Canis lupus familiaris: one gene and its partner. The protein of the gene in region 1 purifies or fractionates together with the protein of each later gene. This does not show direct contact. Links are inferred from orthologs where the notes say so. Each region holds a gene or a part of one and is shown on either strand. Other genes may lie near its edges.

The links. Proteins that work in one complex are often made in the same cells at the same time.
Region 2: the proteins of DUSP8 (region 1) and MAPK8 purify together in Homo sapiens (affinity purification with mass spectrometry; 3 studies listed by BioGRID and IntAct, counting the BioPlex papers as one, with this or other methods). This does not show direct contact. The link is inferred for Canis lupus familiaris from reciprocal best matches to the Homo sapiens genes DUSP8 and MAPK8.

The regions. Positions count from the first base shown.
Region 1 is NC_049239.1:46,262,047-46,266,316, forward strand, and holds the start of DUSP8 (dual specificity protein phosphatase 8), read right to left. Parts: upstream 2,832-4,270; 5' UTR 2,746-2,831; intron 2,492-2,745; exon of another isoform or gene 2,295-2,491; intron 1-2,294. UniProt on the Homo sapiens protein: Has phosphatase activity with synthetic phosphatase substrates and negatively regulates mitogen-activated protein kinase activity, presumably by catalysing their dephosphorylation.
Region 2 is NC_049249.1:431,480-435,610, forward strand, and holds the start of MAPK8 (mitogen-activated protein kinase 8), read left to right. Parts: upstream 1-1,286; 5' UTR 1,287-1,435; intron 1,436-2,041; exon of another isoform or gene 2,042-2,115; intron 2,116-2,587; exon of another isoform or gene 2,588-2,737; intron 2,738-4,131. UniProt on the Homo sapiens protein: Serine/threonine-protein kinase involved in various processes such as cell proliferation, differentiation, migration, transformation and programmed cell death.

The DNA of each region.
Region 1 (4,270 bases):
ACTGGAGGCCCCTCCCCACCAGGCTGGGCACCACCCAGCAGGCGGCAAGCAGCTCCCCTTGCCCTGCAAGGCCACATACACAGGGCAGCCTGTGCTGTGACATGCCCTTCTGCACCCTGTCTGAACCCTGTCTGCTCACCTCTTTCCCACAAGCCACCCCATCCCCTCATGCAACTACTCACAAGGCAGACATGTGTGCTGGTACATGTGGCCACTGGGTGCACTCATCCTCACCCTCTGGGGGCCAAATCCCCTCAAATCCCAGGACACTCAAACCCCAGGGGCCAGCCCCACGATCTCTCTACATTGTTGGCTCTCAGGGCCTCCATGGGGCACATCTTTGTCCCTGAGCAAGGGACATGCGTGGCCTAAAAACTCCCAATGGATAGCATCTTCACCAAGGCCTTCTGCTCAGCACCTACTGACGGGGAACTCACTACCTCCAGAGACAACGGTCAGGACTGTCAGCCATGGGTGGGCCTTGGTGTCTCCAGCCCGAGTGGTGCCTGGCACTCATAGGTAGACCCTCGAGAAGAGCTGGCAGGGGGCCCCCACTATGCTGCGATGTCCAGCTCACTGTGACCCAGGGGTACCTCTGGAGTCAAAAACTGCTGCACAATGAAGCCAGGAGATAGGCTGGTAGATAGCTCTCACCCACTCAGCTCATTTTTCCCCTCCTCTGCTTTCATCAGGGACCCCTAGATGCTCTCACTCCTGCCCCCTCATCTCCCTGGGCTGCAGGGAACAGGACCCAAGTTGGCCTTTACCTGGTCCCAGAGGGACTGATAGCAAGGCCAAGTAGGGCTGACTTGGTGTGGAGGCCATGGGCCTGGGAGACAATGGGGTGGGGCCCTGCCCCCTCAGTTCACAGGGGTCTGGGTAGAGCTTGCAGTAGGTCTCAGCGTGTGGGTCCCTCAGGACCCTACAGATCTAGGTTTCCTCTGTTCCTGCCTGGCTTGTGCTAGCCCTACTGACCTGCAGGACTCTGGTCACTGTCCCCCCATGCTACACATGTGGGCCATTCCGGGATATCTATGGTCATTGCCTGGAGCGGTCCAGGCAGAAGTGGACTCAGCCTGTGCAGTTCTGGTGGTCAGAGTCTGACCCATGTCCCTCTTGCCATGGTTTGGCTCCTTCATCTGCTTTCCCTCTGAGCTGCACCCTCTGGAGATGCAGCCAGGATACCCCCTGGCTTCCAAGGCCCCTTGGGCCCTCTGTCCGTGCAGCAGAAACATCTGGGCTCCAAGGTCAGCCTCAGCTGGAGAGGAGAGGATGCTGGGTAGGTTTCTGGAGCAGAGGATGCCTTCAAGCATCCTTCTGCATCCATTGCATGGAAGCCTTCGTTCCTGGAGGCAGCCTCGGGGGCACAGGAGCCCTCCCAAGGGCTGAGGGCAGCAGGGGGGGAACGGGGTGGGGGTTGTTGGGAACTAGAACCTGCCCAGCAGCTCTCCCGGAGCCCTTGGCTGACTGCAGCAGGAGGTATTCAGGATGAACTCCCAGCTCCTAGTCACATGATCTGTCCTACCGGGCAGGTGCTTATTAAGCATCTGAGGAGTGAATTCCTGGGACATCTGTCCTCCCTGAGCAGGAGGTGGGGGGGGGGGGGTGTACTGGATGCTACACTCATTTCCTGAGCTGCCCTCCCAGCAAGAAGGTCTGAGGGAGGCAGAGGGCAGTGTCTGGACCCACAGACCTCCGCTCAGACTCCCAGGGGCAGGGGGCACAGCAGAATGCTGCTCCCCTGATCTGCAGCACCCCCACCTCCACCCCAGGCTGCACCATGACACTTTGGGCATCACCGTAGACCCTGCCACTTCTCTCCTCTGCCGCATGGACTGCCCCTTGCACCCCGCAATCACTGAAGCACCCAGGCCCCCAACTCCCCCCTGCAGAAGCCAGTCCATTTTTGCAGTGGGAAGTCAGGAGGCAAATTCTCCCAGTCGCGGTGACCTGATGGGAGCTGGGCCCATTGTGGCCCCCTCCCTTCAAGGCCAGACACTGGGGTACCCCTCCCCACCAAGGTGGGCAGATAGGCTGAGGCAGGCTGCTTGCACTCAGCCTGGCAGTGCCAGCCCCTCCCCCAGCACCCGCTGCTGCCTCTGCAGCAGGCTGGCGGATGGTCTTTATTCTGCAGAGGCCAGCTGAGCACCCTGAGGTGGGGGTACCGGTGGCGGCCTGAACACACAGGGGACAGGGGTCTGCAGCTCCTCCCCACCGAGCTCGGAATGGGCCCTTTCCTAAGCCTCCCACAGGCCCAAACCCTCCGCTCCTTTGGTCAGGGCCTGCATCCCTACCCTGCGGGGGCAGGAACGACCGTCCGATCTGGGGCCTCCCTGGTGCGGTGGGGGGCAGCCTGGGAAGTCTGGGGCTCTAGGCTGAGGTCCGTACAGGTCTGCGCAGAGGGCCCAGGTCCGGGGTGCTTACTGCATGCCCTTCCCCCCACAAAATAAGAAAGAATTTCGAGGAGAAAGGCGGCGAAGCGGGGGTTGGCGGGGGCAGCGCGGACCGGGCCGGGGGTCCGCTGGGCGCCGTGGGAGGCGGGGGAAGGGCTTCCCGGGCCGGCCCGCCGCGTCCCCCTGAACCGGGCCTCTTCCCTCCGGCCCGCCGCCGCCGCCGCCGCCGCCGCCTCTTCCCGGGCGCCCGCCGGGTGCAGCCGCCCCAGCGCTCCCGCCGTTGCGCCCACCGGACCGGCTCCCCGCCCGCGCCCCGCGTGTCCCCGCGCCCCCGCTCGGCGCCCCCGCTCACCTCGCCGCTGCTCGCGTCCGGGGCGCACGGGGACCGGCGCCGCCCATGGGCCCGGCGGGGGCCCGCGCAGCCGGGGCAGGGGCCGGGGGAGCGCGCGGGCCTCGTCGCCGTCGCCGCCGTCGCCGCCGCCGCCGCGGGGAGCGCTCGCTCGGGCCGGGGCGCGCGCACTGCGGGCGGGCACGCGCGCTCGCGGCGCGCATCCCACCCCGGGCTCGGCGGGCGCGGCCGGTGCGGCTCCGGCGCGGCTCGGGCTCCGGCGTCCGGGCGGGGGGCGCGGAGCCGGCTGGGCCGCCGCGCTCGGCCGCGAGTGACAGGCCCGGGGCGGAGGGCGGGGCTGCCGGCGGGGATGAGGTCATGCCGAGCGAAAAAGGCCCTGACGTCACCTGCAGCCAATCAGCGCGCGCAGCTCCAGGGCAGGTGACGTCAGCCGGAGCCCGGCCGCGGGTGCAGATCAGAGGCGGCGGCCGCGGGGGGCAGGAGCGGGGCGGGGGGGGGGGGGGGCGAGCGGGCCTCCGCCCTCCGCCCTCTGCCCTCCGCCCCTCGCCCGGGCACCGGCTCTTAAAGGCGCCGCACAGCGTCCCTCCCGCGCCGCCGGGGCCCCCGCCTCCGGGAAGCCTTCCCAGCCCCGGCGCCGAGCCCACAGCCGGGGACGCCGGGCGTCGCGGCACTCACGCCCGAGGAGGGGCCGGCCGAACGGGTCCTGGCGCGAGGGTCCCTCCCCCCTCCCCCGCCGCGGCCGGAGCTGGCGCCGCCTCCCCCGGCCCACAGCCTTTGTTTGCGCGGGGCCTGCGGGCCGGGGACCCCGCGGCGAGCTGGGCCCGGCGAGCACCTCACCTGCGGCACCTACGCCGGCGCCTCCACGACCCCGGGGCTGGGAACCTGGGTTTCCACTGCGCTGGGCAGCAGATGGGGAGCTCGGAGGCGGGATGGCTCGTGTGGGGTCACACACCTCCTGGAGTCCGGCGAGGGGGTCCCCAGTGCAGCGCTGACCCCTGGCCCCACCGGGTCACCTCTGGCCCCTGGTGCTTCCAGGGAGAACAGCGCTCATGGGGTGCACCCTGCGTGTTCTCCTCCCCTCCCCACACAAAGAAGGCTGTTGAGGGTCTGTCCCCGCCCCCCCCCCCCACCCCCCACGGTGGGGAAAGTCGCGCTGGAGGCCAGGGTGCAGGGAGTCCAGAGGGCGCGTTGGGGGTGGGGGGACCTAGGTAATTACCCCTTGAGCAGGGTTGGGCCGGAAACAAGGTGGTGGGCCGTCTGGAGGCCACCCCAGGAGGTGGCATGCAAGCAATGGCTGGAGGCTGTGGAGGCACCCTGGGTGCAGGAGGGACCCCCCCCTCACTCCCCCCACCCCCATCCCCCAACCCCGCCCTAGGCAGGAAAGACCTGAACCCTCCCTAGACCTGGGGGCAGTCAGGGAGCTAGGACCAGGAGACCCAGGAGGATACACATCTCCAGGTTCATCCAGTCCTTACTGAGCACCTTCTGGGGCCAGGCCCTGTGCTGGGCACTGGGGAGTTAGTTCTGA
Region 2 (4,131 bases), on another chromosome or scaffold:
TTATTAATTCCATATTATGTTGATTACATATGTAAGTTCCATTGTATTGCCAGTGCTAGCACAGTGCCAGGTACAGAATGGGCATGTGATAATTGTTTATTGTAGAAATAAAGGAAGAAAGGAAAAAAGGCTGAGAGAGCAAGGAAACGGGGAGAGAATGTACAAATGATTGTTCACATTTATATTTCATTTCAGAATCACTGGAAACAGGCCAACTCAACAGGACAAGGGAAGATAGTATTCCTGGATTCAGTCATTTACTCAACAATATTCATGTGTTCATTATTAAAGTAATGTAATTTTCTTTTTTTTTTAATTTTTATTTATTTATGATAGTCACAGAGAGAGAGAGGGAGGCAGAGACATAGGCAGAGGGAGAAGCAGGCTCCATGCACCGGGAGCCCGATGTGGGATTCGATCCCGGGTCTCCAGGATCGCGCCCTGGGCCAAAGGCAGGCGCCAAACCGCTGCGCCACCCAGGGATCCCCTAATCTGGCAAATTTCTTTTCAGGTTTTTTCCATGTATGCATAATACATAGGTAGGATCATTATATAGAGACCTGCTTCTTTGTTTTCATGATACATCGTGAACATTTTCCTGTATTGTTAAGAATTCCTTGAACACCTGGCATTTAAATTGCTAAGCTACATTCTATTGGATGGATGGATGTAATTTAGACGCCCTTCCACCCATTGTTGGATATTTAACGGCTTGCCAATTCGTCACTCCTGCAACTAACGAATACACGCTTTGCGGGAGCTCAGAGATAAATAAGGTGATGAATTAAATCTAGCACGAGCTGGATTTGGGGAAAACAGGAGGCAGCTTCTTCCAGGTGGCTGAAAGGAACAATCACTCGCCGTAGGTGACGAGGCCCTGAAAGGAACGTGCTGTCGGTCAAGGTAAGCCCCGTTCTGTGTCTCGGGTGTGTGCCCGGCCCAGGGCCTGCTCCCGGGCGCCCGGCCTCAGGGCAGGCACCTCGCCTCCGGCTCCCACTAGGGGACGCCCCGGGCCGGGAGCCGCACGTGCCGCGCGCAGGGCCCCGCCCCCACCGGCCCCGGACACGCCCCTCGCGCCCGGTCCCGGCGCGCCCCCCGCAGCTCCGCCTCCAGGCGACCTCCGCGCGGCCTCCCGCTCCCGGAGGGGCCCCGCCCCCGCCCCGCCCCCGCATCCGGGCCCCGGGGCCGCCCCGCCCCGCCCGCCCCGCCCCGCCCCGCCCCGCGGGCCGCCTGCGAGGCGCGGGGGCGGGCCCGGCGCGATGACGTGGGCGGGCGTGCGCGGTGACGGCCCGCGTTCCTGTTACTCAGCGGAGCGGCCGGGGCCGGACGACGGGGCCGGGTGCGCGGAGCCGCCCTGGGTAACGGCCGTGGCGACCGCCCGGACGGCGCCAGTCCCGCGGGCGGGCTTCCCAGTCGCCGTGCGCTGCGTTGCGGGGTGAGTGCGGCGGCTGCCGCGGGGCCCGGGCGCCGGCGGCCCCGCCGTGTTTATGTTATTGTGCCGCCGCCGCCGCCGCCGCCGCCGCCGCCGCCGCCTTCTCCGCGGCCGGGACCCCCTCCCGGGAGTGGGGGCGGGAGCGCGGCGGCTCGGGGCGCGCGGCGGGCGGGCGGGGGCGGGGCGGGGCGGGGGCGGCGCGGGAACAATGGCGGGCGCGGAGGCGGGGCGGCCGGGGGCGTGGGGCTGCCGGACCCCGGCCCGCGCGCCCGCCCCGCCCCACAGCCCCGCGCGCTGCCCTCGCGGATGCCGCGTCCGCGTCGGGAGGGAACGTGGGGCGGGCGCTGGGCGGCGGGTCCTGAGGCGATTCGGGGAAGGTCGGGCGGAGGCGCCTGACTCGCTCCCGCGGCCGCCGAGTCCCGACGCCCGCCCTCGCGCACGGGCTCTCTTTGTGCCGAGGCTGCGGGCGGAGGCGCCGTCAGCCCTGGGCTGCGGGGTCCGCGGGGCCGGGCCGGGGTCGGCGTGCGCGAGCGCGGCCTCCCCTCGGGGGTCGCCGGTGCGGACCTTCCGGCCCTCCCCGCCCCCTCCCCTTTGTCTTGCACTCGTGTTCCCAAGGCTCAGACGGTGGAGCCGAGTCGGTCGTAGAGGATCGCGACGAACGCCTGCCGCGCGGGTGTCTGAGGGTGCGTAGCCGCGGGCCGACTACGGGCATCGGGGTTGCGGGGTCACTGTTTCTACCTCTGAGATTCAGGAGCCGCCTCGGTAGGATTCCGGCCTGTCAGGCCGTTGTGCTTTGGGATGAGCATCCGGCAGGTATCTGGGCCGGTGGAACATGTGTTTATTTCATTCATTCATTGAGCAGCTGTTCAGCACTGTACTCAGAGTTTGAAGCGAAGAGAAATACTTTTTTGATGGAGGAGGATGCTTTGAAATGTAATGGATGTCTTTTTAAATGAGTTATGTAAGCAGTGTGCGTTAAAGGTGTCGTTATACTCTGGGTCATTTATTTTTTTGGTTTTGGGTTTTTTTTCTTTTTTCTTTTAGTACAGTTAGGAGGTTGATCTAAACGTACAATGGCTTTCTTTATTTACAAATTTAACTTTTCAGTTTTAACAGCCTTACAGTCTTAAAAGTCATTTGTAATGTTTATCTCAGATTTCCCTGCTGTGGGTTAAACCTAGGAGATCACATGCTGTAAGGGAACATGCTCAGTGCTGTGCCTGACAAAAGCAAGCAATCAAAATGGGATTTCCTTGAGGACAGGCCTGTCTTTCATCTGTGTCTCCAGCCCTAGCCTGGAATATAGTAAGTGTTCAATAAGAGCTTGATGAAAAACTCTTCACGGTTAATACTATTTAAAATCCAGTCTTTACAGTTCTTTACAGTTCTCTGCAAACTCACTTTCAGTGGGCTAAGTGATTCGTTCATTTGTACTATCTGTCACCGCATCAGGGGCTTTTGAATATTTTAGTTTTTTTTTTCCTAGCACTTCTAATTCATTATCCTAAAATAAAATATTGTCTAAAATGCTTTTGTTGTTTTTGTCTTTTTTTTTTCTTAGTATGTGTATCACACACAGACATAGTGATATTACAGCAGGGGTCTAAAATGATTGAATTTGTCCTTTTTTGAACATTGCTTGAAAAGTTTCTGATGACGCCTGTAAGGGGAAAAGCTAGAGTATGGGAAATAAGCTACATGAAAGTTTTATTTGAAATGTTTAATTTCTAATTGCATTTGTAGAAATGTTTAATTTAAAATTCTACCTTGGTGAAGCATTTGGGCCTAACTGAATTTAAGATTTTACTATTGGAGAAGCATATGGGCCTGAAACTCCAAATAATACTGATTTATTCAAGTTACATCGTTTTTCCACTCACAGTTTAATAAATTTTAGCATGTTTTGGATATGAGAGAATTTGAAATGAGCTTATAGTATTGCCTGATGCAGAGAACAAATTAAAAGGAAATACTTCATTAAGATAAGGAATGAAAATCATGAGATACCAAACTTTTATTGATTTGTCTAGTTACAGTATGTCAGATTTCAGAAAGTGTTACTGATACAATCCTTTGGTGGTAGCTCACTGTAAGGCTACATGTCAATCCAGTTTTTTGTGTTTTTGAAATTCTTTTGGTTTTTAAAAATAACAATTTTATTGAGATACAAATGACATACCATAAAATTCACCCGTTTAGAGTGTGCATCAGTATGGGTTTTAAATATATTCAGAGTTCTGCGTTGATTGCTACTATGCAATTCCAGTACATTTTCATCACCCCAAGAAAAACTACGTACCCATTAGCAGTTACTCCCCTTTCCACTCTAAATTATGTTTATTTTATTTTATTTTTTAAAGATTTTATTTATTTATTCATGAGAGACACAGAGAGAGGGGCAGAGACACAGGCAGAGGGAGGAGAAGCAGGCTCCATGCAGGGAGCCCGATGTGGGACTTGGTCCCCGGACTCCGGGATCAGGCCCTGAGCTGAAGGCAGACGCTCAACTGCTGAGCCACACAGGCGTCCCCTAAGTTATGTTTAAAAAGAGATATCACTGATTCTTTTGGTGAGTATATTCCATTAATGAATTTGAAATGGGCTGTCTTTAAGTGTCCTGACAGAGTAGGAAACTATATTCTTATTATACTCCTTTAGATCCTGAGAGAACGGCCACTTGGAAAGGAAATTTAAGAATA